Linked DNA regions of Daphnia pulex. Each later gene encodes a partner of the first gene's protein in a complex. Links are inferred from orthologs where the notes say so. Each region holds a gene or a part of one and is shown in the gene's direction. Other genes may lie near its edges.

What was found.
Region 2: protein virilizer homolog (region 1) and N6-adenosine-methyltransferase catalytic subunit-like share a complex: the UniProt entries of both Drosophila melanogaster proteins name them as parts of the WMM complex. The link is inferred for Daphnia pulex from reciprocal best matches to the Drosophila melanogaster genes vir and Mettl3.

The regions. Positions count from the first base shown.
Region 1 is NC_060020.1:7,379,450-7,395,384, reverse strand, and holds protein virilizer homolog, read left to right. Parts: upstream 1-6,210; 5' UTR 6,211-6,294; coding exon 6,295-6,384; intron 6,385-6,457; coding exon 6,458-6,570; intron 6,571-6,634; coding exon 6,635-6,770; intron 6,771-6,828; coding exon 6,829-10,263; intron 10,264-10,325; coding exon 10,326-13,019; 3' UTR 13,020-13,484; downstream 13,485-15,935. Other genes in the region: dolichol-phosphate mannosyltransferase subunit 1-like, read right to left, coding at 5,093-5,503, 5,568-5,678, 5,741-5,840, 5,908-6,008; uncharacterized protein LOC124192310, read right to left, coding at 13,877-14,013, 14,098-14,283, 14,343-14,513, 14,577-14,853, 14,917-15,146, 15,299-15,374. UniProt on the Drosophila melanogaster protein: Associated component of the WMM complex, a complex that mediates N6-methyladenosine (m6A) methylation of mRNAs, a modification that plays a role in the efficiency of mRNA splicing and is required for sex determination.
Region 2 is NC_060028.1:8,117,281-8,133,201, reverse strand, and holds N6-adenosine-methyltransferase catalytic subunit-like, read left to right. Parts: upstream 1-10,920; 5' UTR 10,921-11,093; coding exon 11,094-11,247; intron 11,248-11,303; coding exon 11,304-11,517; intron 11,518-11,578; coding exon 11,579-11,700; intron 11,701-11,763; coding exon 11,764-11,876; intron 11,877-11,930; coding exon 11,931-12,057; intron 12,058-12,120; coding exon 12,121-12,323; intron 12,324-12,393; coding exon 12,394-12,550; intron 12,551-12,619; coding exon 12,620-12,786; intron 12,787-12,865; coding exon 12,866-12,991; intron 12,992-13,122; coding exon 13,123-13,301; intron 13,302-13,432; exon of another isoform or gene 13,433-13,493; coding exon 13,494-13,599; 3' UTR 13,600-13,719; downstream 13,720-15,921. Other genes in the region: protein bric-a-brac 2-like, read right to left, coding at 3,400-3,757, 3,826-4,049, 4,130-4,251, 4,322-4,385, 4,454-4,996, 5,062-5,519, 5,603-6,127, 6,195-6,396 and 1 more; probable E3 ubiquitin-protein ligase RNF144A, read left to right, coding at 14,570-14,777, 14,843-14,985, 15,051-15,182, 15,249-15,309, 15,372-15,640, 15,708-15,767, 15,834-15,921. UniProt on the Drosophila melanogaster protein: Catalytic component of the WMM complex, a complex that mediates N6-methyladenosine (m6A) methylation of mRNAs, a modification that plays a role in the efficiency of mRNA splicing and is required for sex determination.

The DNA.
Region 1 (15,935 bases):
TAGTCGTCGGGGTTTGCATTTGTGCTGTGTCTGAGGTTGTGTGCAACGCGTTTTTTTTTCTTCTTCTTTCATTCAAATTTTCTACAAAGGAGTGGCCGCGTGTATAAATATTGGTCTGCGGCACTATGCGGCATACAACAGCAAGGGACGTGCGTCTCTAGAAAAATACTTGAAAAGGAAGAAAGCGACAGAAAAACCAGACGGCCAATTGCTGGGATTTGAAACGGGACGCGCGGACATTTCGACGAATCGACAGCGCAACAAACGAAAAAGACAAAAGTTCCTTTTGATTTTGGCTCTCGTCGGCTGTCCCTCGCTGACCAACGGCACAGTCTGCACCAGCACCCGACGCCCAGCACATGCAGCAATTTATTTTGATGCTGTGCTGGACGTTGTTTTAGTCACCCGAGCAGCGGCGGCCGCGGCCTTATATGATGGAGGAATGTTTTCCCTTTTCTTTGTGTGCGCAAACAGCATGAAATGCAGGGAAGAAAGCCCCTCTTTTCACGCTCGGAAACAGACACACACACAGAGAGCGCCCAAAAGAAAAAGGCGCGTCATTCAAATAAACGGAAACTGGACTATTAAAAACACAGAGACAGAGACACAAGAAGCGTGCCAATGGACCTGATGATGTCATAGAATTAAAAAAAGGGGGTCAAACCCATCCAGCGGAGAAGACAACTGCATCTCTAAATTCTCCGGGGGTTATTTCTTTTAGATCTTCTGTCCAGCAACCGGCCAGCAACTTATCTAATATGTATACATGTTTTGAACACACGGAAGGGGGAATCAGTAGCTCAACATGAGGCACACACATATGTACAATGTGCGCAAACTCGTCAAGGGGGGTTCCAGCAGCAACACAAAAGCAGCCGCATCGGTATAAAATATGGCTTTTCTCTTTGAATGTATAGAATCTTCCCAATATTTTGTATAGCCGGTGGAACTTAGAAAGCAAAAGGAAAGAGATTTAACCTTATAGTTTTCTTTATTGTTTGGCCAGCCTATACGATTGGTCCAGGGGTTCAATCTATCAGCAGCTAAATAGGATAGGGGATAGAATATATATGATGCCGTGTTGAAAAACTAGGCCCTGATCCGGCTGTTAGAGCGCCACAGCTTCTTGACAAAAAAATTCAAACAACAAATGTCAGCCCAAAAACTCATCATTTCGTAATTGTAGCCAAAAAACGCGATCGACATATTATTGCAAAACAATGATTGCGTGTTTGTCATATTATTTGCATCAGCGACACAATAGGCGATGAAACGTTTCTACTCTCGGATGTGGTAATATAGCCTAACAATATCACAAATCCTTTATCACATATTAGCGGATGAGCGGGAGCGTGTGTGAGTGCGTCTCCCCATGTTGGTCAAATCAAAAGGCGCAAGTAATAACGTGTCTGGCTCTCTCATCAGGTGACAAATATCACCCACTCACGCGCATGGGCATAAATAAATACGTATGTCAAAAATCACGTGGATGAAAAACGTATGAGTGTACGAATTGAAGGGGAATAATCAAGAACGATAACAAATCTAAGGCGACGACGACAACGACAACATTTCTGACAAAAAAATAAATAGGATGTTGGTGATCTGTCAATTTTTATATTTATCCAAAAAGAGGGGAATCGAACCGTGATTTTAATTTTAGTGGTGAGCCAAGATTTACTAACTATATCCATGAAAAATTATTCAAAAGGAGAATCTCTAACTTCAGACATATGAACTGAATAGCAAATAGGCGTAATAGGCCGATTTAAATTTAATTCTAAGTATATGAAATATAACGCCTAAGTACCAAAGAAATTTAAAAGGTTCACTAAGTTGCTTCAGGCTTTATAAGCCAAGGTGTAGTTAACATTGTGAGCGTTGATTATGTTTTGATTAGAAGACGTACTCTTTCGCTACCGTCCAATGTTTTGTTAAGAAGGATGCTTCATTATTGACGAAATTAAGTTTTTGATTGGACATTATCTTTCGGATTATCCAGCCGATACCGCAACTGAGTTACGGAAACTACCAGTATATAAATCGTTTTTAATTGAGAAATGGATGGCGTCATGTTCACGACGTGAACTTACCTCTGCTGCTTAATCATTTTAGTAGTTGAAAGTTTATGTCATATTTCGTAACATTTTAAGGCGATTAATAGTGCTCATAAGAAATTTTAATACGTATAGTAAGAAATGAAGGGAAAAAAAAAAACAGTTAGCCGCCATAAATGTTTTTTATATACAGTTATCCAGTTTCATATACGAGGACTTGATTTCAGACTTTTAGGTGCGTACCGAGTCTTAGCTATATTTATATCCTATTATTTTATAACGTCATCATTTGGTCATTAATAATCATGATAAAAGTCTTTGACGGGAGAAGAGTTTGAACCTTCTTTACCTGATTTTAATTACTAGCTTTCTAGCCAAACTTTTGCGGGATTTAAAAATAGTTATGTTGAGCCAAAATTTACTAATTATATCCATGCACAATAATACAAAAGGAAAATCAAATTTTGGACCAATGAACTGAATTGCTCTTAGGCGAAACGGGGCGATGCAATATATTTTATGTTGACTCAATTCAAACGACATAGTACAAGAGACACACATAAGCCAGACTTTTACCAGTCTTTATTAGCCACGGTTAAACGCTTATATACATATTGATTTTGCAATTAGTTAGAGGGTGTTCTTGCTACGCCGCCATCTGGCACAGACCAACATCTAGAAAAAGTAACAATTTTCTGTTACATGATTTCGTAGGTGGGCCTTCTGGGCCATTTTCGACACTAGCAAGGGCAGATCACAACTTAAAACTGGAAAACTACCAGAATATAAATCTTGGCTAACTGAATATTGCATGGCGCCATGTTCACTTTAAGTATTTAACTATGCCGCACATCCATTTTCAATATTCTTAGTTGATGTCAGATTTCGTAGCATCCCAAGACGCTTCTTAGTGCTCATAAACAATCTTAAAGTGAATAGTAAGATATGAAGAGAAATAAACAAATAAGCCGCCTACTACTAAAAGAGAGCTGTAAATCTGCTACTGAAGAAGAACGTTAAAAAGAGTATAGTACAGTGGGGTGGGGGGAGGGGAGGAGTGGGAGGTGGTAATGCGGTGGCGGGTGGGGACGTCGAGTTTTTCCTTTTTCCTCCGCTGCTGCTGCTGTACACCTAAAAACCTGGGCCGGTGCACACGGACAATGGAACGTCGTCATTGCTTTTTTTTCCTCTCTCTTTATACAAGGGGGATGGGGGAGGAGGGGGAAAGGTCGACGGGTTAGAGCGGCGTCGGCTTGTTTAAGCTTTGACAAACGTTTGCACAGTCGATCACGTCCGACATCGACGGGAGTTTCATCGGTGGAGGAAGGGGGGAAAGCAGTTGCTGCTGCTGGCCCGTAGCTTTTTTCTATTCATTCCAATCCCCCCACTACCTCCTCCTCATCTTCTCCCTGTGATCTCTCTCTCTCCCTTTTTTTCCTCCTCCTCCTCCTCCTTCTCCTGTTGTTGTTATAAAAACCGACGCTCGGCTGCGCACGCGCCGCGAATTCGAGAATAGCAGTCGAGTATTAGCTTTTGGGTGGTGAGGGGGGGGGGATATAGATGGGGGTTCTCTTCTTCTTCTTCTTCTCCCAACTATATATAAAAGCCGAATAAATCTGGCAGCAGGGTTATGGTATACTATGTGTGTATGTACCTTTTATTACATAACGCAGCACACAACTGACATCTTTTTACTGTATAGATATCGATCAAATCCCTGGCTACAGAATCACAGCAACCAGCAGCTCGGCACGACGACATATTCTCACACGTTGCCAAAATAGGAATAATAAATCCCCCCTCCCAAACGAATAGTTTAACCCTTACATTCAGAAAATTCCACGAAAACCGTAAAGCCTTCCGCCCTTTTTTACAACTTATACGCCGGAAGAAGAAGAAAAAAAAAGAAATGTATAGAGCGTCTTTGTGTCAGTTCAATTCTCGACAATATGACGTTATTACGTAGTATTTATATTTACGTGGCGTCAGAGTCCATTCTTCCCCTTTTTTTGTTAAACGAAAAAGAAAAAAAAATGCCTTTTGGAAAAAAGTATCGGCTACTGATTCCATATGTCGTCCTGTTACGTATAAAAATCTAATACACTTTTTCCCTCCGCTAGATGTCAGCATCAGCATAGCTTGACAAAATAGCTTTAAAAAAAAAATAGCGCCGGAAAATAGCTAGGTGCTGGGTTGAGAATTGAGATTGAGGGTTGAGGTGCTGGGTTGAGGTGCTACATATGGCACTAAAATCTTGCAATAATTAATGTCTTTTAATGATCGATCATTGATGAAATAAGATTTAACCAATTTGTTAAGAGTTTTACAACTTTATTAGTTCAGAATCAACTGTGAAATTATCGATCCAATTTTGAATTGTTCAATTGAAATCCACGGGAACTGCATCTGGATTGTGGAGATTCCCACGTTTGCTTACATATAAACAGCAACTAAGCATCAAGATTACGAATAACAGGGCAGAAATGGTGAAAAAGGCAACGGGTCCCCTGTAATTTTCTCTTAATACATCCTCAAAATCGCCTCCTGTATCGTTTTCAACAGCCTGGATTGAAGAGATTAGGTAAATGGTCATTACCACGAAGAATGGGGAGAAAAGCGGCATAGCGTTTTTAGCGAAATATTTCGTTCCTTCCATTTTTTGAATTGTTGAAGATCCAAATGCACTAACTTGTTGTGGAGCGCTTACAATAAGACGCGACAGCGTCTTTTATTTATAGGAGACACGCTAGGAAACGAACTTGCAATCAGCTTATTGGGTGAAATAACCACCATAGCAGTTTATATATTTTGAAACTATTCAAGTAGTTTTAGAATTATGATAGTTCTCAATTTTACAAATGTATTTCAATAATTAGTTATTTCTATAAATGAGGGAATCTAATGAATTAGTTATATTTGTTAACCATGGTCTGTGTGTTATCTCATGGATATCATGGCTCATTCAAGAAACAACAAAAATATTTCAATAACAATTTTTAGAAGGTGTATTTTAAGTTATTGTTTGAAGAATTTTGTTAAGTAGTGGCAAACAAATACAAAAGTCCTTTGGCAAATTGGTAAATTTCATTCCCACCTAATTTTGATTCACCGTAAACCCGATCAACAAATGAAATTGGTACTTCACCAATTGTAAATCCCAATTGTCTAGCCCTTATAACCATTTCCATTTGAAAAACATACCCCTTTGATTTACAAGATTGCACCAGTTTTTCTAATACTTTTTTCTTGTACAAGCGGAAGCTACCAGTGAGGTCAGAAGCACCAGGTCTCAACAGCACTTGAGTAACATAGTTTGCACCTCTGCTAATCACTTTCCTTTTCAGGTCCCATCCATAAACTCCACCATTTCCACTGTAACGAGTTCCAGAAACCAAGTCATAGTCCTTTTCTTTTTGTTTTTCAATAAATTGGTGAATAAATTTAGGCTGCCAAGAAAATAAATGTTTTAAAATTAATGTCCCCTAAGGTTAAGTTTATAAAGATGATTACATGGTGAGATAGATCAGCATCCATGATCACAACATAATTGCCAGTAGCATGTTTGATTCCATGAATATAAGCAGTTCCAAGTCCAAGTTTCTTTTCTCGTGGCCTCAAGACCTGTGATATGACAATATTATAGCTAATTAGAAAAAAAAATACTTAGCCTAACACTACCATACAATTTTTTTATCTCCATAAATGGTTTGAAGCTGCTTTGCTACATCTAGGGTCCCATCAGGACTTCCATCATCAATTACAATAATTTCGAAATCGTATCCACTAACAAATAAAATGCATTGTTATGACCTGTAATCTTATTATGACTGCAAGCAAGTGTCAACCTTACCTGTCAGTAAAGGCTTTGACTAAGAGCCAGACAATAATTGGTAGATTGTCTTTTTCATTGTAAGTCGGAAGCAGGACACTATATTTGTCATCAGCTCCCATTTTATCGACACTTCTGAATTTGTTTTGGAAATTGACGGGACGCCTTGAAGTAATTGTGTGATTCAAACTTGTTGACGTAAGCAAGAAGCAAGGAATGTTATAAATTAAAGGTTGTTTCTCCCAGACCCATCTAGCGGATTACTGAGTTGGGGATCCCTCTAGTGGCAGTCGTATTTATATTTTCAGAAAACCATGACAGTTGCTGTTTATTAACCTTTTACGAACCCTCAAACTTTTTTCTATCCCTCAAAAATTTTACTCATGAAAGTTTTTCGGCTAGTATAAAATGTCTGTGTTAGAACAATTGATAATTGATAAAAAAATTGATAATGAGGAATTGCTCTTCTTCGATACGTTCGCACATGGTCCCACAGAGGTTTGAATCAATTCAGAAAATGTTTATTCATAAATCAATTTGGCTACAACTCAAACTTGGCGACATTTTGCAGGAATTGAATTTGGATTTGGTACAGTTTCCCAAGCCCGTGTACATAAATCAAGTGCGAGTCATACCTTTAGGCGCCAAAGTGCAAGCTGATTTCCCCGGAGGAGTGCGTTTAGGGTAGGTTACGACAGAACAAAATAAATTATAAGGATAATGTTTACATATTAACATGTATTTTCAGAGCAACGAATCCATCCCAGTTTAAGCTTGAACTATTTGTGAATGATTTGAGCAAACCTGGAGCATCTGCTTTTGAGACACTTGGTGTTCTAGATTACAATCAGAATTCTAACATTCATTACGATTCTGATAAAAAAGTAAATTGACTACTATGCATAATTAACAAACCATTTTAACCCCAAGTATATTTTACAGGTACCAACAGATGGCTTAGTTTTGAGAGGCTGGTATACCACTGTAACCCTAGCTGTTTATGGGGTTATTACACGAGCCCCAATAATCAGTATACCTCCACCACCCCCAGCAGCCCCTATCAAACCTGCTAGCCCAGTTCCAGTTGAACCAGCCCAGCCACCGGTTCCAGAATTAGCGCCAGTGTTTACAAATCAAATTATAGACGAAAAGTTACGGACTTCCACCCCTCCGTTCGAAGAAAAAGCAGAACTAATAAAGTGTGAAAATGCTTTTGTGACATCAACAGTGGTTGAATCTGAAGTAAAACGCGAGGATGAACCAGAAAAAGAAACCAAAGTGAAGGTCGAAGAAAAAGTAGTCGAGAAGGTGCGAGAGAAAAGCAGACGCAGTGATGAGTTCACACGGACGCGAGACACAAGTGACTTCCGTGAAAGAGAATGGGAATCCGATCGAACCAGCAAAGCAGATTCCGAACGTATCAATCGAAGTGATCATCGAAGCCGACACGATGTTGATCGATCCAAAAATGATTCGGATCGAATACGCCCAGATTCCGACAGATTTAAAGTTGAATCCGAACGTAGTAGAACAGATTCCGACCGTGAAAAGGCCAGAATAGAATTGGATAGAAAACGAAACGAGTCCGACCGAACTAAAAGTGAAAGGAGCGATTCAGATCGAACTAGAAGTGATCCTGAACGAACGAAGAGTGAATCGGATAGATCCAAAGGTGATGTCGGTAGGAACAGAATCGAATCAGAACGGACACGAACCGAAAAGAGCGACTCTGATAGAACCAGAAGTGATTCCGACCGAGTTAAATGTGATCCAGATCGAGTGAAAGGCGATTCAGAACGTGCCAGAACCGACGAACGAGGTAGAAACGACCGAGATCGCGAAAGACGTGGTGATAGAAGCGATCGTAAAGAGCGATCTAAGGAACGCGAACGAAGCAGTGGCGGAAGTGAACGTGATCGATCGCGAGAAAGATCCCGCGATCGCCATCGTGAAAAAGAGAGAGCAAAAGAACGAGGATCACGTGAAAGCTCGAGGCGGCCTCGGACTCCTGCAGAAGACAAGAAAATTGAAATTGCTATTGTCCTACCTGTACCGGTACCTGTACCGGTTGAAGTTCCACCTCCACCACCTCCACCACCCCCTCCGCCGCCACCTGCTTCCATAAAAAAAGATGAACCCCCTGTAGAATGCTTCTCGCCTGGTGTCGAAATGGAAGCTATATCAGACGATGACATGCCGGAAGTGGATAGTTTAGCCCCTCGCGCTGATGAAGTTGAAGAGGAAATAAACGAAGTTAATGAACCGGAATCCATTCTTCGGAAAGATGAGCCACCCGTTGAAGATGAGGTTGTCAATTCAACTGAAGTGTTAGTTGAAGCAGCCCCTGACAGCGTCGTCGAACCCGAAGAATTGGAAGAACTAGAAGAAATCCTCAGCGATGAAGACCTTATGTTTGAAGACTATAATGCCGACATGACGGATTTGGATATCAATGAATTCGGTGATCTTCTTGAAATCGGAAAGACATTTAATCCTTACGGTGTCGAACTGCAACCGCTGCAGAATTTTACAGATCCTTCAGACACCACATTACAACGAGTAAGCAAGAATGTCTCCGAACCTCGAATACCTTGCAAAGACTTAGAAGACGCTGCTTTGAGACTCCAGATGACGCTGGAGCTAACATCTCGCGGAGAAAAATGGATCGATAGCATGAATCAGTTGGCCTCTATCTTACCGAATGGTTTGGCTTACTTACACTCACAGCCGGATCTGCTCAAATCAATTCAAGATAAAGTGGTTGACTGGTTACTTCACGGCCTAGATTTCGATCATGCTCGCGAACAACCAGGTCCATCTACACATACGGTCCGTCACATCAAATGTGGTCTGAAACTCTCGCAGACGGTGGCCCAGTGCTCGCAGTCGCTTATAGAACGCTCAGTAGATTGTGGCGTCTTGACGAAAATTGCGAGCCTTTACGGTGCCCCCCACATGGCTCAGTCGCTCAAGCTAATGTGCCTGCGTAGCATTGATGCTCTGCTTTCATGGCCCTACGTCATGGAACATTGGATGAAGAATCCCGTACTGGAGTACCCAAACGGCTATGAATATTTCGTCCAGTTGTTAGAAGCGACTCAACCCTCCAGAGCTCAAGTAACAGTGACCGCACTCATCCGAAAGATACATACTTACGAAGCTCTGCAGCGGATTCATAACATCGGACAAATCCTGGCCCGTTTACCTCCAAACGGCTTTAGACGAAAAGACATTCGTCGCCCTTCAGGAATGAGCATTGAAAGTCAAGACTCGAACTCGCAGGACAGTTTTTCTACACCGAATGCCACATGTCCAAATGTTGTTGCTGAAAATCCGTTAGAGCCTCATCTCACGCAGTTACTTTCCAGTTTAAATGAAGTTCGAAAAGTTTATCTGAACCCACAGTTGACTGTTGGTCATCTGCTTCGTTTTCTGCCCGTCTACCGTCAGTACGAGATCTCTAACGCTGGTTCGGATCCTCTCCAGGGACTCTACTGTTTCTTCCGTCATCACAGATTCTTGGGCGTTTTATTGCTTCTGTCAACTCATCCATTGACAGGAAGTGATCATGTTATCATGGACATGGTGCTCCACTTTCTGGAGGATTTTGCCATGACGCATCATGGGCTTTGCTTCCTCTCTGGTGAATCAGACGTAACAACGTTGATCCTTCGTGCTTTGATGCACACGTCTGTTGGTCACGGACATCCATCAATTGGTTTAGCCACTGAATCGGTCGAGGGACGTCACGACGAGTACGCCAACGTTGAAGAACTGAACGTTACTAGTCATCATGCATCGATGACTCCGCATCGGCTGGGTGTTCAGTTAGCCCATTCACTTTACATTATACAGTGCCTGGACGTCCTCAATCATCACTTGATAAACAACAACAAAGACAGTCCAGCTGCCATCGAATGCATCCAATCGCTATACAGTCTGGTTTTCAGTGTGACAGGCCGGTTGGCTCTGATCCATGTTATTGCATTGGATAACAATATTGATGTTTTGCTCAACATTCTGACAAGTGATAGTGATGCAGAGACTGAAATAAGGATGAAAGAATCTGCCGTCCGTGGATATGCGGCTGAGCTAGTGGCACTTATTGTGAGATCAACGGAAAATGCCATGTTTTATGCCAAGTACGGTGCATCACTCATCGGATTGGTGGCTTCCAACCAAGATGATAGCAATAAGTTGGCTCATCTGACTCGTTGGATTGAAATCCTTAATCAGCCCCAAGTTTTCACTCTCGACAGCGGCTTGCCAGTGCTTTGCGACGTAGTCAAGCAGCACGCCGATGATGCCGCGAGTTTTCCACCCGAGCTTATTGTTGCTCTTCGTCTGCTTTGTCCACTCGCCATACCCAAACAACAGGTAAGACATTTTAAACGTCTTTAGCATAATTGAAATTTATTAACGAAATCGTTTGGACGTAGGGAGAAAGTAGCGGAGAAGAATACGTGGAACTCAAATATGCATACGCCGTAGTACAGCTCTTCAGTCACGATATGCTGAGTCTGCTAGTAAGCATACTGCTGAAACTCTGTCAAGCCTATGAGCAGCCGGCTGTTCATGGGGCCGTACTGGCTGGACCGCAAGGCTTCCTTCTGCTTTCCATTGTCCATCCATCACTCAAGTTGATCCGTCGTCTACTATGTCAACTTATCCGCTGCCGTGATGGAGAATTTCGTGACCTGACAGCTGTCCCAGTCCTACTGCAGACGTACGCCCTGGTTAGCGCTGTTCCGGCTTCATCTTTGCTACATTACAAAGTGGCCGAGTGCTGTTCCGACATTGTTGGCACCTTACTGGCTTATAGTCAGCCTTTGTTGCAAACTGGAGATGGCAATAGCGTGCGAAGTAGTAATACTAGTGGTGTCATCAAGGCATCTACCACACCAGAAGACGCTTTATCGCGAAGTTTGTGGACGCAAATGGTTCAGGAAATTTTAAAATTCGTCCATACTTGTTCCGGGCCGGCTTCATTTATCACAGGATTGCAAGTGCTCAACGAAATTCTCCCACTGCCATTGCCTCTGTTTAAAGGAGTTGGAGGTGAAACCCAGTTGTCTGAAGAAGATGTGCAAGAGATACTCAACGCCCGAAAACTTTGGAGTGTTCACCTGCACACTCTCGGGCCACAAGTGCAGCAAGTTGTCCGGCTCTTGTGCTGCTCTGGCCCGCAACTTTTACAGCTCTTGCGAAAAGTGTGTGTCCAGATTGCCGATCTCTCGGCCAGTACTGCGCTTGTTATAGCTAGAGCCGCATTGGATGCTGTCCTTTCCAGTTGCCTGATTCAAGATCCTAGTCCACCAGCAAACGCCAAAAGCGAGGAAAATGAAAAAGATGTTGCTGTAGCCTTCCTTCCGGCTACGTTGATTTGCACAGCTCACTCGGCCCGGGTGTTAAACTTTCTAGCAGCCATTGTGACACATGCACCAATTAAAGCAGCTGTGTTGCAGCTTTGTCGTGGATTGCAGAAATCGGATGAGAAATACGCCGAATTTCTCCAGTGTTTGTGTTTGATCCTTAATTCGGTCTCAACAACATCGGCTCACATCCAATCGCAGGAATGCGTCGTCTCCATCTTCCAGGCGTTACTTGACGCCGATATTTGTCTTTTGTCACCCGATAAGGTCGAATACGAATCTTATTTGTCAGCCGCCCTTCCGTCCCGTGAACCCATGTTAATCATCGTGTCTGGGTTATGGGATCACCTTGCTAATTCCGAACACAATTACTCGTCACTCTTGCCTACTCTTCGAACACTGACGTTGCTGACGGAGCACAACTACACGTTCCAGCACTTGCATAAAGTTTTAGAGCGAAAGCGGCACGCCCTATGGGCCTTCTTCGATAAAATGGCTAGCGGTTTCAATAAGGACAGTTCAGATAGTGTGTCCACTTTGTCAACTGCATTGGAACTCCTTCGAACACTAGTGAAGACGCCAGTGGCGGCGGCACTTGGACGGCGCAATGTTATCGTGCCCATCTGCACACTCTCAGAAGCTCTTCAATGGCCTATGGAACCGACATCAACAGAAGAAAATTCTGTAGAAGAACCTAAAAAGCATCCACTGTTAGTTCTTCAAGATTTTTTACGAGAAAACTGTACAGAAGAAGAATCAATGGAAAGCCTACGAGATAGTCTTACGGCGTTGGTGAATATTCTTCAATCCTCGGACTCTGATGCAGCCACCATAAAAGATACCGCAATAGAAATTATCATCCCGCTCCCAGAGACTCTAAATCTCCAGTTTGCACACCGGCCACTGTTGAGTGATTCTCCAACTGATGAAGATCGTCTTTCCTCTTCTTATTGGTTATCCAATCATCAACACTGGGTAGACGAACCTGCCGACTCTGATACGGATCATATTCGTTGCGATCTTCTGGAGACAGCACAGAGTTGCTTGGGTGCCGATGTGGATTTAATGGCTTTGACCGAACGTCTTTGTAAGAGTCATTCCGAACCTACGGAGATTGGTGGACGAGCAACTACAGTGATTTCAATAAAAGGTCGAATGGATGCGCAATCAACCGACGCTCCACCCGGAAGACCGATTCTATCTACAGCGCGTGACAAATCCAATAAGCCGTATGTGGCTCCAATGCGAGGGAGAGGATTCGGAAGACCTGGCGTCAATGGGCGAAACGATCCTTTCCGTTCTCGCGCACCCAACACATCACGTCCACCATCACTACATGTCGACGATTTTGTTGCCATGGAAAAGAACGGAGCTGTGGGTGGTGGACCTTCCTCATCATCTGGGGTTGGCAACAATTTGTACGGCACCAAAATCGCAAGAGGTGGAGGAGGCAGGGGCAGTGGCAATCGAGGCCGAGGTGGTTTTCCCGGTGAACGTGGTCGCTTTAATTTTCAGCAACCCCGACGTGAGGCCGCTCGGTCTCGTCCAGGCGGCACCGGTTCGACGTCGACGTCTTCTTCCTCAGCCAAGTGGGACGATCCATATCTTCATTCTTCTGTGGTTGAAGCGCGTTCTGCTACCCGTTTTCAGTCTACTAATCGTGTTTGGACCAACACCGCTAGCAAGGAGCGATACAGTTCGCCGTCAAATACGGCCCCATCAACTGGTCGTACGCGACACACACGAACGTTTTCTCGCTAAATAAAAATCCCTGGCAGAAAATCGGAAGGAAGAGAAGAATGATTGTATCGGAAAAGTTTGTCTGTGACCAAATTGAACGTGAATAAAATGTAATGAGTAACAATTTAAAATGAAAAAAAAAACGAGGTTTTGCTTCCACTGCAAATACAGACCGACCGCTACGCGAACGACACATTTATTACATCGACAAAGATGGGGGGGAGGGGTTAGGGTGAGAGCAAGATGAGAGGTAAAAGTGAAAAAAAAAATGTAAAAATGTACAAAGAGTTTTTCTTCTTGCTAGTTTTCTAGTGTGCGACGATATGTGCGTCCTGATGGGTACCTTTTAATTGCACCCTACGTTCTATTACCCCAAATAATCTGATACTTGACGTCTATACACTTCGGCACCTAATCAGATCCAAACTTCAAAGTGCAACCAGGCAAAACGCTTTCTAGGACAAAAGGCTAGGCCTACTAGACTAGCACGAGGAAAAATGGCGTCAAATCTTTACGATAGTAGAGAGAAAAGGTGGGATAGAAGCCGAATTCATGAGCAAGGAACTTTTTCTATAGATGAAAATCGAAGTCTGAATTTTTGGCTTTCACTGTTCAAGTGAATCAGTCCATCATTTCTAAGCAAGACCTCAATACTGGTACATGTGATGATAACCTGAATACTGTGGCGCTGCTTCTTCAAAAGGAAAGAAGAATAGAAGAGGGATAGAAAATGTGAAATTGGCAGTGATTTAAAAAGGAAGTTGGCAATTTGAAAACAGAGTGTCTCTTGCTGTCATGAAAGCGCTATGCGAGAGCCGATACGTTCTCTTCCCGTTTTGAGTTTTGGAAGATTTTGAAGCAATAGTTTTGATCAAGCGTCAGTTCGAGTCAGTTGATTGCTGCGGCACGGCTGCGTAATCCGGAAACAATTCCGAATAACTCGGAGGCGGATCTTCTAGAGCCTTAGTGGCCGGAGCCTCGTCATGCAGAGGAACTCGCCATCTTTCTAAAGGAACTAAAAATAAATAGATGGAGTTAAAAAATTAACAATAAAATATAAAACAAATTTTGGGTAGATTTCAATTCAATAATAATTTACCTTCGCCGGCATGATGAGGTATGGGTAAGGTTGATACGACTTGGCAATCTTCTTGATTTCTCGCGCGGCGAAGTCGTGCTTTGCGCCGGCGGCAGAAACACACCATGCTTGCCATCAGGCATAAAATGAGAAGTGCTACGGCTCCCAGAATGACGAGCGACGCTGTGCTGATGGCGTTGTTTGAAACTTTTAAAGGAATATGTTGGTAAATTTAACGGATTTGAGTTTACATATGCGATTCTTACTATTGCTCGATGTTGCGACAGCACATCCCGTTTCATCCGAAAAAAGTCCTGCTCCACAATTGACGTGTCCATCACATTTCAAATTGGATGGGATGCATTTTTCTTGCATCTTGGTTGACTTGTCAACACTGGGTATACATGGCCAGTAAGCAGTGTCATTTGTTTTGCAAGCTGTTTTTTAAAGTCAATATTTATTACTGGCATCATAGAATATAAATGAGGTGTTTATATTACTCTGTCTGTAAGAAGTTACAACTACTTTAAGTCGTAGGGGTTGAAGATTTTGATCCACTTTCCTGCTGGTTTTTCTAAACCATATGTGCAACTCTCCACCAGGGTCATAAAATGTTGTTGCTTCTGGTCCTTCAGGAATAAGTGATTCCACATAATTGTGGAGAACTTCTTCATCATTGGATTCTGATGGACGTTCACTGGTATAATCATAGATGGGAACCAGTTTTCTTTCTCCACACAACTTTTTGCTGAGGTAGCCATCATCATCTCTGCCAAACTACAATTAAGGGTGTCATGAAAAAAAATCCAAAACAATTTATTTAAAGTTTATAGGACTTACCCAGACATAGTCATCACACTCATTATCCAAAGGATTTCTCCTAAGATTAATGTCTTCAACAACAACTTGCAAACCCTGATTTTTTGGTGCTTCTATTTCTAGATGGCAGTCAATCGCTAACTCAGTAACATGAGGGTACTTTGAAAGTTGTATCAAGAGTGCAGTACTCCTTGAATTCATTTTAATAGTCCTTTTGGCCGAGGAACAGACATTTGCATCTTCTAAATAATCTAAAACGGAAAACAATAAGGGCCATTATTATTGTGACATCAGTGAGTCAAACCTAAGGGCTAAGGGCGTTGTCGAAATTGGTTATAATGAAACGCACCATTATATTTAAGGAGATAATGTTAACGTTTGAAAAAAAAAACAGTGGACTTACATATTTGGTAGCCATAAGTTTCTAAAACAGTAACACTATAAATACACAATAAAAACAATCTCGTTGCGAACTCCATTTTTTGACAACTTATCGACTGTCTGCACACATAGATAACTGTAGGTTGCCTGTGATGGCTGTCACTTGCATTGCGCGCCATCTTTTGTTATAGTACCAAAGCACAAAATTGGACCTATTGAAATATATAAGTGAAAATCACATGAAAGTAGTATTCTAGTGTTCTCTGTTCCATATAATATCACGATTATTTTTATTCAAATGGTTGCATGTGAATTGATGTCCAAAATTGTATTTAGTACGAAAATCACTCCAAGCTTTTGAACTTTGCCGCATGAGAACCATTTACTTCATTTGGCGGTGCTTGATCTATAATTATCTGGAACATTACACATCAAAAAAGAAAAAGCGATCGACGATTTCCGAATTTAAAAATAAAGTCTTATAATTATTTTATAGTAAAATCTAATCCACTGTGGTTGAAGGGGAAACAAAAATTTATTAATGAGTTCGAACTTATGAGATAATTTTTTTGTTTTTACATTTTTTAATAGATTTGTTAACGTTGTTCGGCGAGCTGCTTGACTCGGCAAATTTTTTGACGCAAAATTTTCTGCTCTTT
Region 2 (15,921 bases), on another chromosome or scaffold:
CGATAATAAACAAAAACTCCCGTCTCTCCTTTTGTGGCTTTTTTCTTCTTCTTTAACTTGAAATCACGTAGTTCAAAATGGCGGAGAACCAGCAACTTCTTCTGCTGACAGCCAGTATCGGCTCTATACTTTGTCTAAAAGTTATAGACGTCGAAAAAACATTTTCCCCTCATCTCTTTTGATCTGCTGGGACAAAGAAAAAGTTTCGCTGCGGTGGTAGACAGCGCGTCAGTCCCCCAGTTGGACGATAACACCCCAACGTGAATGATTGCAGTCATTGCACAAAGACTTTTTTTGTTAGGCGGCGTGATTGCGATTCATCTTCTTCTTCTTATAACAATCATAAAGAGAAGACGAATGTTGTCTTATAGTAGTACATTTAGCCCGTCTTTTGTCACATCTCTCGTCGTTGGTGTATTATATAAATAGCGCGTCATTGGGTCTCGTCCCACAGGCTGCCAAGAGGATTTAAATTCATGCGAGCGTGACGTTTGATTTATGAACGCAGCGTACAACAAAAGAAACTTCTTCTTCCCCCAAAAACTGTATGGCACATCCAGCTGGTGTAATCAAGTTGATTAAAAACTGTGCGAGGCTAGCCACTATACATGTGAGAGACGTATGGCCATAGGCTATATACGTCTAGTGTGTATATGTTTGAGACTCTTACAGTCGACAGGTGATTCATCAGCTGACACACGGGCAGGGCCCAGCACCATTCGCATTAAAGAAGATCGGCCAAGCCAACAAGCTCTCTGCTCCGGCTTGGCGCGTTGGAATAAAGAATTGGGATATTCAAATGAGAATGGGCTGTTGTCTCGGCAATGACAGAAGAAAACGAGAGAGAGGGGGAGATATAAACGCATGCGCAATTCATTCGAAACTTTTTTTTTTTTCTTTATATTCCAGACGTGTTTACGTGAACAGACTTGGAGGGGGGGGGGCGGAGGGTGTGTGTGTGTATATACAGTAGATATTTATTTATTGTTATTTCTATAGCCTCCGCACACCACGTATATAGTGGAAAAGTTTTCTTATTGATCCGAAGCTTGTCAAGTGCCTTATCTTTATATATGTGTATACATTTCTTCTCTTTTGTTCTTCTTTCTTTTATCAATTTTTTGACACATGATGACAAAAAAGCTGCGTGTGTGTGCAGACGGATCAAACCAGGCTGGTCGGAGGAATCTGGAAACCATATGAGAAGACGCCCGATATATTAAACGGAAACGGTTAGAAACTGCTGCTGTTTGATTACACACACACACACTTTATTAACTGGTGGGCGGGGTTTCGTGGTTGTCGAGGGGTGATATAATATTATACACCCCATCACCCTCCCCCCTTTTACACACACATATATATAAACCCCCCCTGAAAAAGCTTTTCCTCCGACCATATGCACCATCTAATAACACACTCTCTCTCTCTCTCTGTACGGACTACGCAACGGAAATGACAGATGACGGTCGGATGATCATGAAAGTCGATCTGCATTTGTAATTAAAACTGCCTACGAGGAATCACTCAACCGTCAGTCGAAATCAAGGTTGTACTACACGCCTTGAGTTATTTAGACGAAAGCTTGTCCGGTCATTTGAGACTTAAAGAATTCCAAGGGGAAGAAAAATTAATACAAGGAGGTGCCGCGGTAGGTCCCTCATAAAACATTTTCTAGTTGCACTTTTGCTTTGATAGAAATTAAAGTTTAAACATTTTTTGGATTTGATAATGATTTGATAATCTAATTTGTGAAACACAAGTTGTTTGTCGACAAATCATTCTTCATCCAAGAAATGCAAAATGTTTAAAATTGCATTTGCAAAGTGAAACTTGTTGACTTCACTTTACGTGAAATAACAATGATTAATACTGCAGCATGATGTACAGTTCCAAGAAAACTTGTGAAAATATGAATGAAATATGATGTTTACCATGTTTTCTAATATCTACATGATTGTTTTCCTAATAAACTTGAAATGATTTACTGACAAACAACTTTCATTATGTTGTTCCACAACTTCGATTTGGTTTACCAAAATGTTTTCACATTTCAGCACAAATACTTTCCAGATTGACTTACATAAAGCTTGTGACAACTAGCAATACATTTAATCATTTCAAATTAAATTTTACCTTTAGCTGAATATTGAATCATCCGTTTTGAACCTTATCTTAAACTTTGTAAATAAATGCAGACGACACTTTTCTCAATTTTAACTATTCAAAATCAAACCCTTCCCCCTTAATCTAAATTGCAAAAACGATCAAAGCGGTTTTCTCGTCCGCGTTTGACATCCGCTGAACGGATCAGAATTATTTTAGTATCAAATTGTTTGTCTCACCTACTTAGACAAGATGAAAGTAAAAATTTGCATGAAACCCACAGATAATTACTTCAATAACGAAATCCGCCACGATTAAGCCTCCAGGACCAATTAGAATTAAATTTAAATTTGTTATTTCGCCTTGACCGTTTGATAAAAAGACTTTCTTTGGACGCCATCTACATTTTCAACAGAAAAATAGTTGTGTGTATTTTCACTATAATCAATCAATCGCGCGCGTTATTAAATTTCATCCTTTTCTTGTACGGAAACATAATTTTTTTTGTGTTTTTTATTTTTATTTTGTTCACGGGAAAGAGAAAGGAGGATAAGGTGTGTGTGTGTTTTGAATATTGAAATTAAAATGTGGAGGGGATTGGGGTGGGAACTGGGTCCGGGAGTAGAAATGATTGCTTTCTTATTTTCTTTTATAGGAGATTCATCAAACACGCACACACATGTACAAACTCACACACACACACACACACTCAAAACAAGTTTTTTCTCGACTCTTCAAATATTTTTCTTTTTTTTTCTTCAGATCCAATTGAAAAGAAAACTAAAGTAAATCCATTTTTCCGCATGGCGGTAAAAAAAAGGTGAATAAATTCCGATAAAATAAAACGGAAAACAAATAATTGCTTTTTTTCTCGTCCAAAATGGTGGAAAAATAAATAATTTTGTTTTCGTTTTTTCTTTTTTAAATCAATCGATTAGAGGCGAAAAATCGACCAAGACGTGATTGAACCCATGCTCACATCTTGATTATTTATATATTATATTATATATAAACTCGATCGACACAAGTTCCAGTGTAACCCTCCAAAAATAATAAATTTTTCTTAAATTTCGGAAGCGAATGTGTCGTGTGTGTGGTTGTTTTTTTAAAAAAAGGGAAAAAGGAGCGGAAATGATATACGTAGATGCAACACATGCACAACATTTGTTTGGAACCATTCACCTGGTATTAAAAAAATATAGTGTGTGTAGGTGGGGGGTAGAGAAACGTAAAAAATAAAAAATAAAGAAATTGTTGGTGACCCCGCCCTGATCGGGAGACTCGAATTTCAATTTACTGCGGATAGGTGACAGCACCGGACGATTGGCTCGACGAGTTAGTGGCGTGAGACTGGCTGTGGGCGTAGGCTTGATAGTCCATTGTGAGCGGGACGGGCCCGGTCGACATGACGGGCAAAGTCATCGTCACGTGACCAGGTACGTGGCTCGTCAGGTAAGGTGTATGAGAAACATGACCGCCCGGGTTGTAGGACGACGGAGAAGGCGACGGCTCGCCACCCATTCCCTGTTGCTGCTGGTGCTGAGGAGCGTGACCCTGTGATGTCGGCGAAGGAGTCACTCCACCACTGGCTCCTCCGCCACTGCCGGCCGCAATCATCATAGGATCGTCCTCGTCCAAATCGTCGTCGTACCTGTTGAATTAACAAGGGACATGTATCATAATGAAGGAGGGAAAAAATCAATTTCAGGAGCCACTTACACATCACCATCGTCAGGAGGCGGCCCACTTTCGGCCAGAGCTGCTTCGTAACTTTCGCCGGCCTCTTCTGCCGCTTTTATCCTCTTGATGCGATTGTACAGTGACGAATAAGGGACATTAAAGTGGATGGCTGCCTGATTAATGGACATTTCCCCCTGCCGCACCGCTTCCATAGCGTCCGTCATGTTCGTGTCGGACCACGGTCGATCCCCGCTATAACTTTGCTGCAATCGAATAAAAAAGAAATGAATTCCCACGAAAAATAAATCGATAAAGCTAATAAACGACAAAAAAAGCTCTTTACCTTATGAACTAGTTCGATGCCTTCCCGCTTACACCGGCCGTAAAGCGTCCCGGACGGAATGCCAAATTGTGTAGCTGCTCTTTGGACGGACATGCCACCTCGAATTGCTTCAAGTGCTCGACCTTTTTAATCAATAAAAAGCCCATGAATAAAGTAAGAATCTAAATTTTTGATGAAACAGCTGGAACACACCCAAGTCATCAGGACTCCAAGTCGTCGGCGAGGCATTAAATGGAGCTGCTAATTTAATTCCCTCCTATTGATCGACGATTGCAAATGAAAATATCATATTGGATAAGTAAAATGCAATTAGAATTCAATTACCTTTCGGGCTATTTTGTACAGGGTAGAGCTAGGAATTCCGTACTCCTTGGAAGCTCTATTGGCTGATATTCTGCCAGCTCTGAGTGCATCCAGCGCTAGCCGGAGATCATCTTCGGACCAATGTCTGCTGGAAGGATCTTTCTTCATGGGTGTGTCAATGCCGAGCCGGTGGGCTCGTTGCCATAGTGTTGTGGATGGAATCCCAAAGGCGGCGGCCGCCCGCGTCAAACTCATACTGCCGTTACGTAAAGCGTCCAGGGCTGCTTCCATGGCTTCCGGTGTGTACATTTTCTTAGTCGGAGCATCGTTGACCGCATTCATCGACGCTCCGCCGTCGCTACCACCGCCAGCAACACTCGCAGCGTCTCCATTGTTATTGCCGATGGGCCCGTCGGTCGTGTTCTGACCGCTGCCACCTGAATGGTGTCCCTGGTGTTGCTGCTGATGCGAATGTGGGTGATGGCCGTGCATGGTAATGTGCGACGGAATTAAGCCCAAAATTTCCGGCGTCACCGTCAACCCTCCTCCATCGTCATGGCCGTTCTAAACAGGACGGGAAACTCGATTAGATTACCGAAAGTTTAGATCGAATTAGCTAATGAATTTACCCTATCAGAGTCATTGACCGACGCTTCACTCCGAACGGCGGATGCGTGAGGAAATTCCCCTCCGCCGTGGCCTCCACCAGGCTCCGTTTTAAACGAACGGTCCTGTTGTTGTTGTTGTTGCTGCTGTTGTTGACCCGATGAATTGCCGCCGGCGTTCCCCGGACTGAAGTTGTGAGCGTGAGATGCATGTTGACTCAGGTGATGCTGCCATGGACTGGGCAAATGGTCAAGTGCCACTGGACTGTTGTAACCTCTCGTGTCGTAGAGATTTGTCGTTTGCGGTTGTGAATCAAGTGATGAGGGTGCAGAATGTACGGGGGTATTCGATGCTGAAGGATTGGCGTGATAGCCGCCCACATCGCCCCCACCTCCCCCTCCTCCTCCGCCCGGATTACCCTGTAGTGATTGTGGCGTTTGCACCATCATCGAGTCGTTGTCTTGGACTAAATCGACCGAATCTGACCCAATTAGAAAAACACAATGACACAAATATGATTTGATTTTAACTACTGAAATTACGCTAGGCAAATGCGATCGTTACCTTGGCTACTGCTGCCCTGTACAGTACTCTGATTGGAACCTGTGGGTGACGTTTTGGAAGGCGATCGACTGGGCCAGGAGCCTCGATAGGTTCCTCGAGTTGGACGTCGTACGCCACCACCCGAGTTAAGCCCGGCAGCTGCTGCATTCCTTTTTTCTCCACTATTTCCAGTCCATCCTCCACGACCGGAACCAGAAGAACCGGAAGGTCTCCTTCCTCTAGGCCTACCCCTGTAGGACGGCGAGTACGAAGGCCTCTGGCCCTGACCACTGTTCTGTCCCGGCGAAATTAACTGATTGATGGGCTGGGTCATTGTTGCCATTGAGACAACTGTGTTGTTGGGTACTCCTAGGGAAGCTGCCACAGTAGTCATTGAGGAATCGTTGACCACATTAGTATAGTTGCCATTGTTTCCCGGGCCTGGGCCAGACTGGTGATCTGCCACAGGTGGGAGTGGCAGTGTGTGTGACATCACAGAACCCACTGTTTGAGTTTCATTCTGTTGCTGTGACACTTCACATAACCCTAAATAATAAATGACATTTTAGTTTTAATTAAGAAAATAGCCATGAAATGATTTCACGTTGCATACCTTTGATTTTCAATAGTTCTGCCACTCGAACTATCGAAGAGAGCTGGTCCCTGGTTACGTAGGTTTCACCTCTGTAGATGAATTCAACAATGGCTCTCAAATCGGCATGGCCCACACCCACAGGAAGAATCAGCACAGGGTGTTTGCAAGGATTGTCCAACAGCACACGCTGAAAATAGGGGGAACAGGCTGACAGAACAACCTGAGCAACAAGCCAACGAATAAGTAAACCTTGAGCGATAAATTGGAAATGTATGAGGGTTATATACTCTGTGAGCTTTGATTCTGGCACCATCACAGGCCAAAGTGACATCGACAAAGGCCTCTTCAGCCAGTAGCTGGTTTATCACTGACGTCATATTGCAGTGGTAATTGTTCCATCTCAAACAAAACTGGTCCCCTATACCCAAAGCCATCTGCAAAGAGGAAAACACAAGAGTTTACATATAAGAAAGGAGAAACTGACACAACACACAATTATCAACTTTTATCTTTTGTACAAATCACAACATCCCCATCCCCTCATTCTCATTCTTCTTCTTCCTCTTCATCTCTTTCTTTCACTCCATTCTACCCTCTCCCCAACCAACACTTGACATCAGACACACCTGCCAAAAGGTGAAAAAAGTTATGATAAAGAACCCGAAAATAGTTCACCTCGTTCGTTATGTCAATCGAGTTATCCGTAATTAAAAAATGGAGGATTATCCAGAAATTGGGGCCACACACACACACACAGAACGGACGACGCCGAACCGAGAGGTAAAGCAGCTGGAAAAACGGATCAACAACACACAAAAAAATCCAAAATGGCAAAGCGACGCTTATCGTGTCCAGTCAAAGAGAACGGAAGGTTTTTTTTTTATTATTTTTATTATTTTTACTGAAAAATATCCGACTTGTGTGAGAATCTGTCGGCCGGGATATTTCGTAAGGGTAACAAGACCTTACACGCACACATATACACACACACACACACACACACTGATTCTCTGACTTTTGACGCTGTTCTTCTTCCCCTTCTCTCTCTTCTTTCTCTTTCTCTTCTTCGTTTTCTTCTTTTACTCTTCAACAGTTCTCTACCAGACACAGGAGTAGAAGAAAGCTTTTCTGTGCGAGATCAACGGGGATGGGAGGATTAAAATAGAGATGACCGTTCTCAAGCCAACGCTCATGTCTAGCGGCCGACCAGCGCAACTGCAAATATCCGTTAGCCACCAACCGCTCTGCTTACTCTTTTCTACGGGTTGGTTCGCAGAACCGACACTTGTGGCGCTGGGAATGAATAATTTAACAGAACTCGATAGTGGCCGATCTTTGTTTTATTTAAACCTCCTCTCTATTCCGATGTGTCCCCTCCCTCATTCCAAAATGGCGGGTTACTCTCCCCGGTTATTTTCCTTTGTCCTCGTTTTCATCAACCCTCCTTCTACCCACTTCCTCTCGGCACTTTTTATTTTTTTCTGAATTGCTATCGGTGATAGATTATGATTACTACACGATTCCCTATTTCCATTCTCGCGTGACTTGTGAACGCTATGATTTAAAGTAGCTCAATTAATAGTCAACTTTGTTGCTTTACTTTTTTATTATTAATTTAGATTTTCTGTTTTCCATTTTCCATTTGTGTTTACTTCTAAACAGTCAAACAGTCTTTACCACAACCGGCCTACGGAATAATAATAACTAGTTTGGCTTAGAAAAATATTTGACCGTTGAGTCGGGAAAACCAGTTATGGAGAGGGGAGAATGACGCGGACCGCACAATCGCCCTTTCTTTTCGTGAACGGGCGTTTTCTATTGCTCGACTTTCGACTACTCCGCCACCCGTATAAGGCATATTCATTAATCTACTAAAGTTCATCTAGTAGATTTTCTTTTTAGAATAACTACTGTCATGGTGGTGGCGAAAAAGAAATGTCCCGTTCGACGCCATCTGTGAACGCGTAACTAACTACACCAATTTTGAAAATGAGGTCAAATTTACAAGGAAAAACAGCGTCAAATCAGCTTTAAAAAATTCTTGTGACGCGTGTTCAAAAGAAAAAGTAGTCTTGAAGTGAGAGAAGTCGATTAGAAGTCAAGTCATACCATAATATCCGTGTCATCGACGCTATTCGGAAGGGTCTATCGTAAACAAGCGGGAGGGCATTGATCTCGACGCACTACCTTCGTTTCTCTTGTGACCATCGATTACAAGAAAATTAATTAGATTATGCCCTTCGTGCGTCTATCGGCTTGTACGAATCTGAGCAAAAGTACCTAGGAGGTAATACCCTTTGCACGAAGATAATCATTTACAGGGAAAAGTTGGGTAGTTCAGCCATCTTGTGGTTGTTAATATGTTTGCACGGATCACAGGAATCGAATCATTTCTGTACATCAACGATCGGCCTACTTGAATGTTTTCTCACTTTCCCCATCTAATCTAATTGACGTCTTAAAATTCGATACATAAATAAGATAAATGGGTGTTCGTAGATAATCACATTACACCAGAAGGACTAGAACCCATATCTAATAATGTAACTTTAGCAATAAATTCAACTTAATAACAATCTTGATGGAAATTCAATAGGACAATATTTCCAGTGTAATATTTTCATATCTCAGTTAAAATAATAAACACTGATATGTTCAGCCCCCATTAAATATTTCAATTGATCTAGTCTTCATAAACCCAAACTTTATCAGCTGGCTGCCATGAAACAAGTTCTTCATCCTTGAACCACAAGGCAATTTCCTTGTTGGCACTCTCAACAGAGTCAGATCCATGCATGATGTTCCTAATTAAAAGAAAAATTTAATATGTGGTGTAAAGTTATCATTCAAAACTAGTCTTACCTGCCAACTTGAATACAGAAATCTCCTCTGATGGTACCAGGCTTGGAGTCAGCAGGGTTGGTCTCACCCAACATTTGACGGCCAGTCTTGACAATGTTCAAACCCTCCCAGACCTGAAAGTACATTGCATGTATTAAACTAACAGTTAATTGCAGCTAAAAAAATTATTTCTTTACCATTGCAACAACTGGTCCAGATGCCATGTACTTCACCAAACCAGCAAAGAATGGGCGGCCAGACAGGTCAGCATAGTGTTTCTGCAACATCTCCTCAGTAGGCTAGTGACACAAACAAGTTAAAGAACAATCAGAATTAATGGCAGATCCAATTCCTTATAATTAAGAAGTGATTCACACATACCTGGACAAATTTGAGTGCGACCAATTTGAAGCCTTTCTGTTCGAATCTTTTGATGATTTCACCGACGAGTCCTCGCTGGACACCATCGGGCTTGATCATCAAGTAGGTACGTTCTTGGTTTCCAGACATTTTATTGAAACTTACTTTTGATCGGGACTGAAATTAAAGGAGAAGACCGGCTGACGTACTGGATGTGACTAGTGACTTGAAAGTTCCAACACGACAAGAGGAAGGACGTCCTAGCAGACGACTTCTAACCAACGTGAACGAAACGAAAGTTCCCGAACCGACACTAGTGCCACCTTTTTATTTATAAAAATATGATATGCAAATTGGATCGGTTTACGTTACCTAGTGAATGGTAATGTTAATTTTTTTTAATAACATGGATCCTTGATCCGTTTTTGTACTTTGCTGCCCTTGCCAATTTCCAGAAAAGGCCATCTAGCGACCGTCTAAAATAATATGGAAATTTAATAGGACAATATTTTCAGTTTGATATTTTTATATCTCAGTTAAAATATTAAACACTGATATGTTCAGCCCCCCTTAAATATTTCAATTGATCTAGTCTTCATAAACCCAAACTTTATCAGCTGGCTGCCATGAAACAAGTTCTTCATCCCTGAACCACAAGGCAATTTCCTTGTTGGCACTCTCAACAGAGTCAGATCCATGCATGATGTTCCTAATTTTAAAAAAATTTAACATGTGGTGTAAAGTTATCATTCAAAACTAGTCTTACCTGCCAACTTGAATACAGAAATCTCCTCTGATGGTACCAGGCTTGGAGTCAGCAGGGTTGGTCTCACCCAACATTTGACGGCCAGTCTTGACAATGTTCAAACCCTCCCAGACCTGAAAGTACATTGCATGTATTAAACTAACAGTTAATTGCAGCTAAAGAAATTATTTCTTTACCATTGCAACAACTGGTCCAGATGCCATGTACTTCACCAAACCAGCAAAGAATGGGCGGCCAGACAGGTCAGCATAGTGTTTCTGCAACATCTCCTCAGTAGGCTAGTGACACAAACAAGTTAAAGAACAATCAGAATTAATGGCAGATCCAATTCCTTATAATTAAGAAGTGATTCACACATACCTGGACAAATTTGAGTGCGACCAATTTGAAGCCTTTCTGTTCGAATCTTTTGATGATTTCACCGACGAGTCCTCGCTGGACACCATCGGGCTTGATCATCAAGTAGGTACGTTCTTGGTTTCCAGACATTTTATTGAAACTTACTTTTGATCGGGACTGAAATTAAAGGAGAAGACCGGCTGACGTACTGGATGTGACTAGTGACTTGAAAGTTCCAACACGACAAGAGGAAGGACGTCCTAGCAGACGACTTCTAACCAACGTGAACGACATTTCCCGAACCAACACTAGTGCCATCTTTTTTTTTATTAAAAAAAATATGATATGCAAATTGGATCGGTTTACGTTACCTAGTGAATGGTAATGTTAATTTTTTTTAATTACATGGATCTTTAATCCGTTTTTGTACTTATTGCTGCCCTTGCCAATTTCCAGAAAAAGGCCATCTAGCGGCCGTCTAAAATAATATACACTGAAAGCAGAATGAAAACAATCTGGCTGCTTGTCTGACATTTTCTATCATATGCCGGTTTGTTTGTGAAGTTTTGTTGTTCTTATAATCCCTCACATTTATTTTGATTTGTTCCAAAATGTCTGACGCTTGGGAGGAGATTCAAGCTGTCAAATCAAAAAGAAATGAACTTAGAGAACGGTTACAAAAGAGAAGAAAAGAAAGAGAAGATCTCCTTGGAGGAGGCGATTCAACTTCAACTGTTAAAACAGATAGCAATCAAAAATTTTCAGGTAAATGAGGTTCTAGAACAATGATTCTGATTTTTCAACATTTCTTTTCTTTCTAGATGAAGCATGTGAGATAAATCTGTCAAGTTCCAGCAAAGAAGCCAATAAAGATATTGAAAATTGTGTTCTCAGGATATTAACCGATGCCACACTTTCCTTACCTTCAGATTCCAGAATCATTTGCCATAATGTTTCCACTCAAATTGGATATCTAGTTTCACACACAATTGTCAGTAATCTTCTCCAAAAATTTGCTGCTCAAGAACTTATTAGGTTTGTGTTGTGTGTACACATTTGATTGAGAATCCATATTAAGTATTATTCCATTTCAAAGACTTGTAGATGGCATACAGGAAAATCAGCCAGTACTTACCATCACACATGCTGAGCATGCTCGTCTTGTTGCTATGGTTACTGAAGATCAGTTAGGAAATTCCATATCCTTGAAACGAAAGCGTAATATTCTGTAAATTTATACTACTTTCCACTCTTTGGAATCTAATCATTGCATCAAAACAGAAAATGAAGTGGAAGCTGAAGAGTCGGCTTTACCAGCACAAACTGTAACAGTGAAAGAAGATCTATCTAAGTCCAAAAGAGAAAAAAAAGATTCCAAAAATGATGATGTCATGGTAAAATACATATGTTCACTGTTTTAATACTTATATAACTTGTTGTTTCCTTAGAACTTGTTATCGCTTCCGTCGACACGAGAAAAAGAAAACAAGAAAATGGGCGAAGAAATTCTGGATCTTTTGTCGAAACCAACTGTCAAAGAAAAATCCTTAGCAGAAAGATTCCGTTCACAAGGAGGTTAGTTGACCCTTACGCGACAAATTTTTTTTTGTTACTTTGATTATTAGTAATTTTCTTTAGGGGCTCAGGTTAAAGAGTTTTGCGCCCACGGAACTAAAGATGAATGCCGTAAAGTTTGGATGTCTGAATCAGATGACGGTCTCGAAAGCAAATGGAATTGCCATCGGCTTCATTTTCGTAAAATTATACAGTCACACACAGACGAGTCACTTGGAGATTGTTCTTTCTTGAATACCTGTTTTCATATGGAAACGTGCAAATACGTGAGCTTGTTGCGCAATGTGCATTCCCCCTAGACCTTCTCATTTAAATTCATTTTCTGGAAAATGTTAGGTTCATTACGAGGTTGACCAAGCCATTAAAACAAAGGATGATTTTGAACCCGGCTCCTTGCTCGGTCAGGCAGTGGTCTCGCGAGGTGAAAGCACTGTCCTGTACCCAGCTCAGTGGATTCAGTGTGATTTACGGTCATTGGATATGGCCATTTTAGGTATATGCAACCTTATGTACAGGTCCCATGGTTTTTTTTAATACTCTCTTTTTTACATTTATGATTCAGGTAAGTTTTCGGTTATCATGGCTGATCCACCGTGGGATATTCACATGGAACTTCCATATGGAACCCTTTCTGATGACGAGATGAGACAACTGAGCATTCCTATCCTTCAAGATGAAGGATTGATATTCCTCTGGGTTACTGGTCGAGCCATGGAATTGGGCCGAGAGGTATCATTACATTTTTAAAATAGTTGTTCAACATGTAGCAAAATCAACCAAGTGACTCACGCGTGTTCTCTCTCTCTAGTGCCTTCAGCTATGGGGCTACGAACGGGTCGATGAAATTATTTGGGTCAAGACAAACCAGCTACAAAGGATTATTCGAACAGGTCGAACAGGACACTGGTTAAACCATGGGAAAGAACACTGCTTGGTATTGACGTATTTTCTCACCCTACTACACCTTGCGTTTTAATCACTCTACTAAGCTAGTTAGTAGTTACGTATATATTCTACGAACGTACTTTCCAATACATGCGTATCTGGATTTTTGTTTGGTTATAGGTAGGTATGAAGGGTAATCCCAGAATGCTGAACCGCGGACTGGATTGTGACGTCATCGTGGCCGAAGTGCGGGCAACCAGCCACAAACCAGACGAAATGTATGGCATTATTGAACGTCTCTCGCCCGGAACGCGCAAAATCGAGTTGTTTGGAAGGCCTCACAACGTACAGCCAAATTGGTGTGTTCATTTACTTGACCTTCATGCATTACGTACTCACTGTCCTTCAATTCCGTTCTGCCTATTTGACGCCCGACGTAGTATTTTTGCTCTTTTCCTTCTAATATTTTGTGGTTAGCTTTTCATGGACGCTAGTAAGGAAATGAGAATTTTATCACGTGCAAGTAAATGACATTGTTACATGATATTTAGGATTACCCTGGGAAATCAACTCGATGGTGTCCATCTGCTTGATCCAGACATTGCCCGAGCCTACCAGAAACACTATCCAGATGCCAGTGCCCCCAATGCCAAATGAAATTTGCGAATCGCTCCGAATTACTTTTTTCCGCATTTTCAACGTTCATTCATTTTGATCCACCCATTTTTAATAAGTGTCACACACCTCGATTGCGTAAAATAAAAAAATTAGAAAGAAGAGAATGATAAACTTTGTTACTGGATACTTTTTGTTGCACCTCAAGAGGCCGTTGTTGAAATTTGAACGATTTACACCGCAAAAGTCCGCGACTTTACCATGCATTGATCACGTGAATCATGCCTTTTTGTTCAACTGAGATCGTCAAGTTGAGAAAATAAAAATTATTCACTGATTGCATAACCGGAAAGGGGAATCGTTGGAATCGCATCATCTGTATGAAGAAAACTAATATCAAATGTTAAAGCAGGCTAGCCTAGTACGACTCAAAAACCGGGAATACATAACAGACAAACAGTGGGCGTTTTAATCGATACTTTCCTTGAATCGATGCTCGTATCGCGGAGTTGCCCTGAAGTAAAGCTGGCCGCGCATAAAGTCAGCACTACCCACTAGCAGTTCAGTTGGAAAACGAAATCTTACTTAGTCAGAGGTGGTTACCAGTCGCAGTACCGAATGTAGTTAGAGGGGAAAGTTAAATTTTTTTGACACACGCGTCCTAATGACGAGCATTTCTAGTAAGCAATTTTAAACATTTTTTATTTTCGTGTAAAAAAAAAAACATTTTGCTGTTTGGTTGCTAATACGTGATGTACCTTTTGTGCAGTGTGCACATACCCATTTTTTCTGTTTCCTTAGAATTGACAGATTCTGAGCCATTTTATCTCCCCAAGGACGACTTGCTGATTCGTTAAACATCCCCCAATCACGCGATTGTTTTCTCGTGTTTGTGAATCCTGTGAAACCACGCGAGGAAAATTACTGCGTTCTATTTGACCTTGGCTTTTATATAAAACCAAATAGAATAAGAGACTGTAGGAGTGCCCAGAACCATCAAGAAGTAACCTGCATGAGTAACAAAATGCCAGGGCTCAACAAAATCATTGGACATCACCAGTCCTTAAATTCCAGTAAAACTGAGAAATCAGAAAAATGGCATTGGCCAGGATGGTTAAAAAAAAGGAAGCCAGCTCGAAGTTCAAACCAGTTAGTACCAAATGTAAGCAATGTTGTGCCTCGTGAGTATGAAGAAGGCATGCCTAGTCATTCACAAGGAGGTAATAACACAATTTTGATATCTTACTGTAAGCTTTGCTTAATATGGGCCATTTCTATCACACAGGCTTAGTCATCAATCAACAAAGTCAGGATCAGATGGAGACTATGGAAGATATCCTTCAAGACGATCTGGTTTGTCTTCTTTGTCTGCAGGTCCCTAATGAGTGGTTTACCTTAGAATCCTGTGGTTGTAGATTTTGTCAGCAGGTAGGTTTTTATTGATTTTAAGTTCTGCAGTGGAAAGCTTAATGTTATTACTGTTCATATTTTAGTGCATGGAGATGTATGCTCACTGCAGTATTAGGAGTGGAAATGTCCCTATAAGTTGCCCAGATGCCCACTGTTCTCTAAACGAACAAGGAAAAAATAAACAAGGAGGGTCCAGTCAACTCACTCGCAATGAAGTAGGTGTTGGAAATTGATCAAGCTCTGTTAGGGGTGCTAAATTTTCAATACCTTTTATATCTAAGGTGAGACAATTGGTACCCAGTGATGTGTTTCCCCTTTACTTGAGACTGCAACTCAACACAGGTAAATTGGCTAAATGTTCCCTGAAGAATTCAACTCATTAACAATATCCTTTATAATTTCAGAGGTTGCAGTCGATCCCAGATTGATGTGGTGCCCACGCCCCGGTTGTGAAACTGTATGTACTTTAACAGAAGAAGTTTCTCATAAAAAGACGAAGAGAAAGTTTTTCGGCTTGTTACCTATATCCCGCAATCAACGCAATCAAGCGGTGGTGTGCTCCTCCTGTCAATTTTCTTTCTGCTCGCAATGCAAAACTCCTTGGCACATTGACTCACCATGTCCGTCCCTAAGTCGATTACTCTCAGATCCGAACAAAAACGTGCACGATCCGGTAATTATATACAAAAGATTTAATTGCTATGTCCTTGACTTGACAGACAATTTAATTGTGATTGCAGGACGACCCGATTGTATTGCTTGAACGTGATGGCCACATTAAGCGATGCCCATTTTGCCAGGTTAAACTATTCGAAAATTGTTTTGTGTTCAGCTTGTTAACCTTTGGACACCATTATTCGTTATAGGTTCCCATCGAAAGAGACGATGGTTGCGCTCAGATGATGTGCAAAAATTGCCGACACGTTTTCTGCTGGTTCTGCTTAGCTTCTCTCG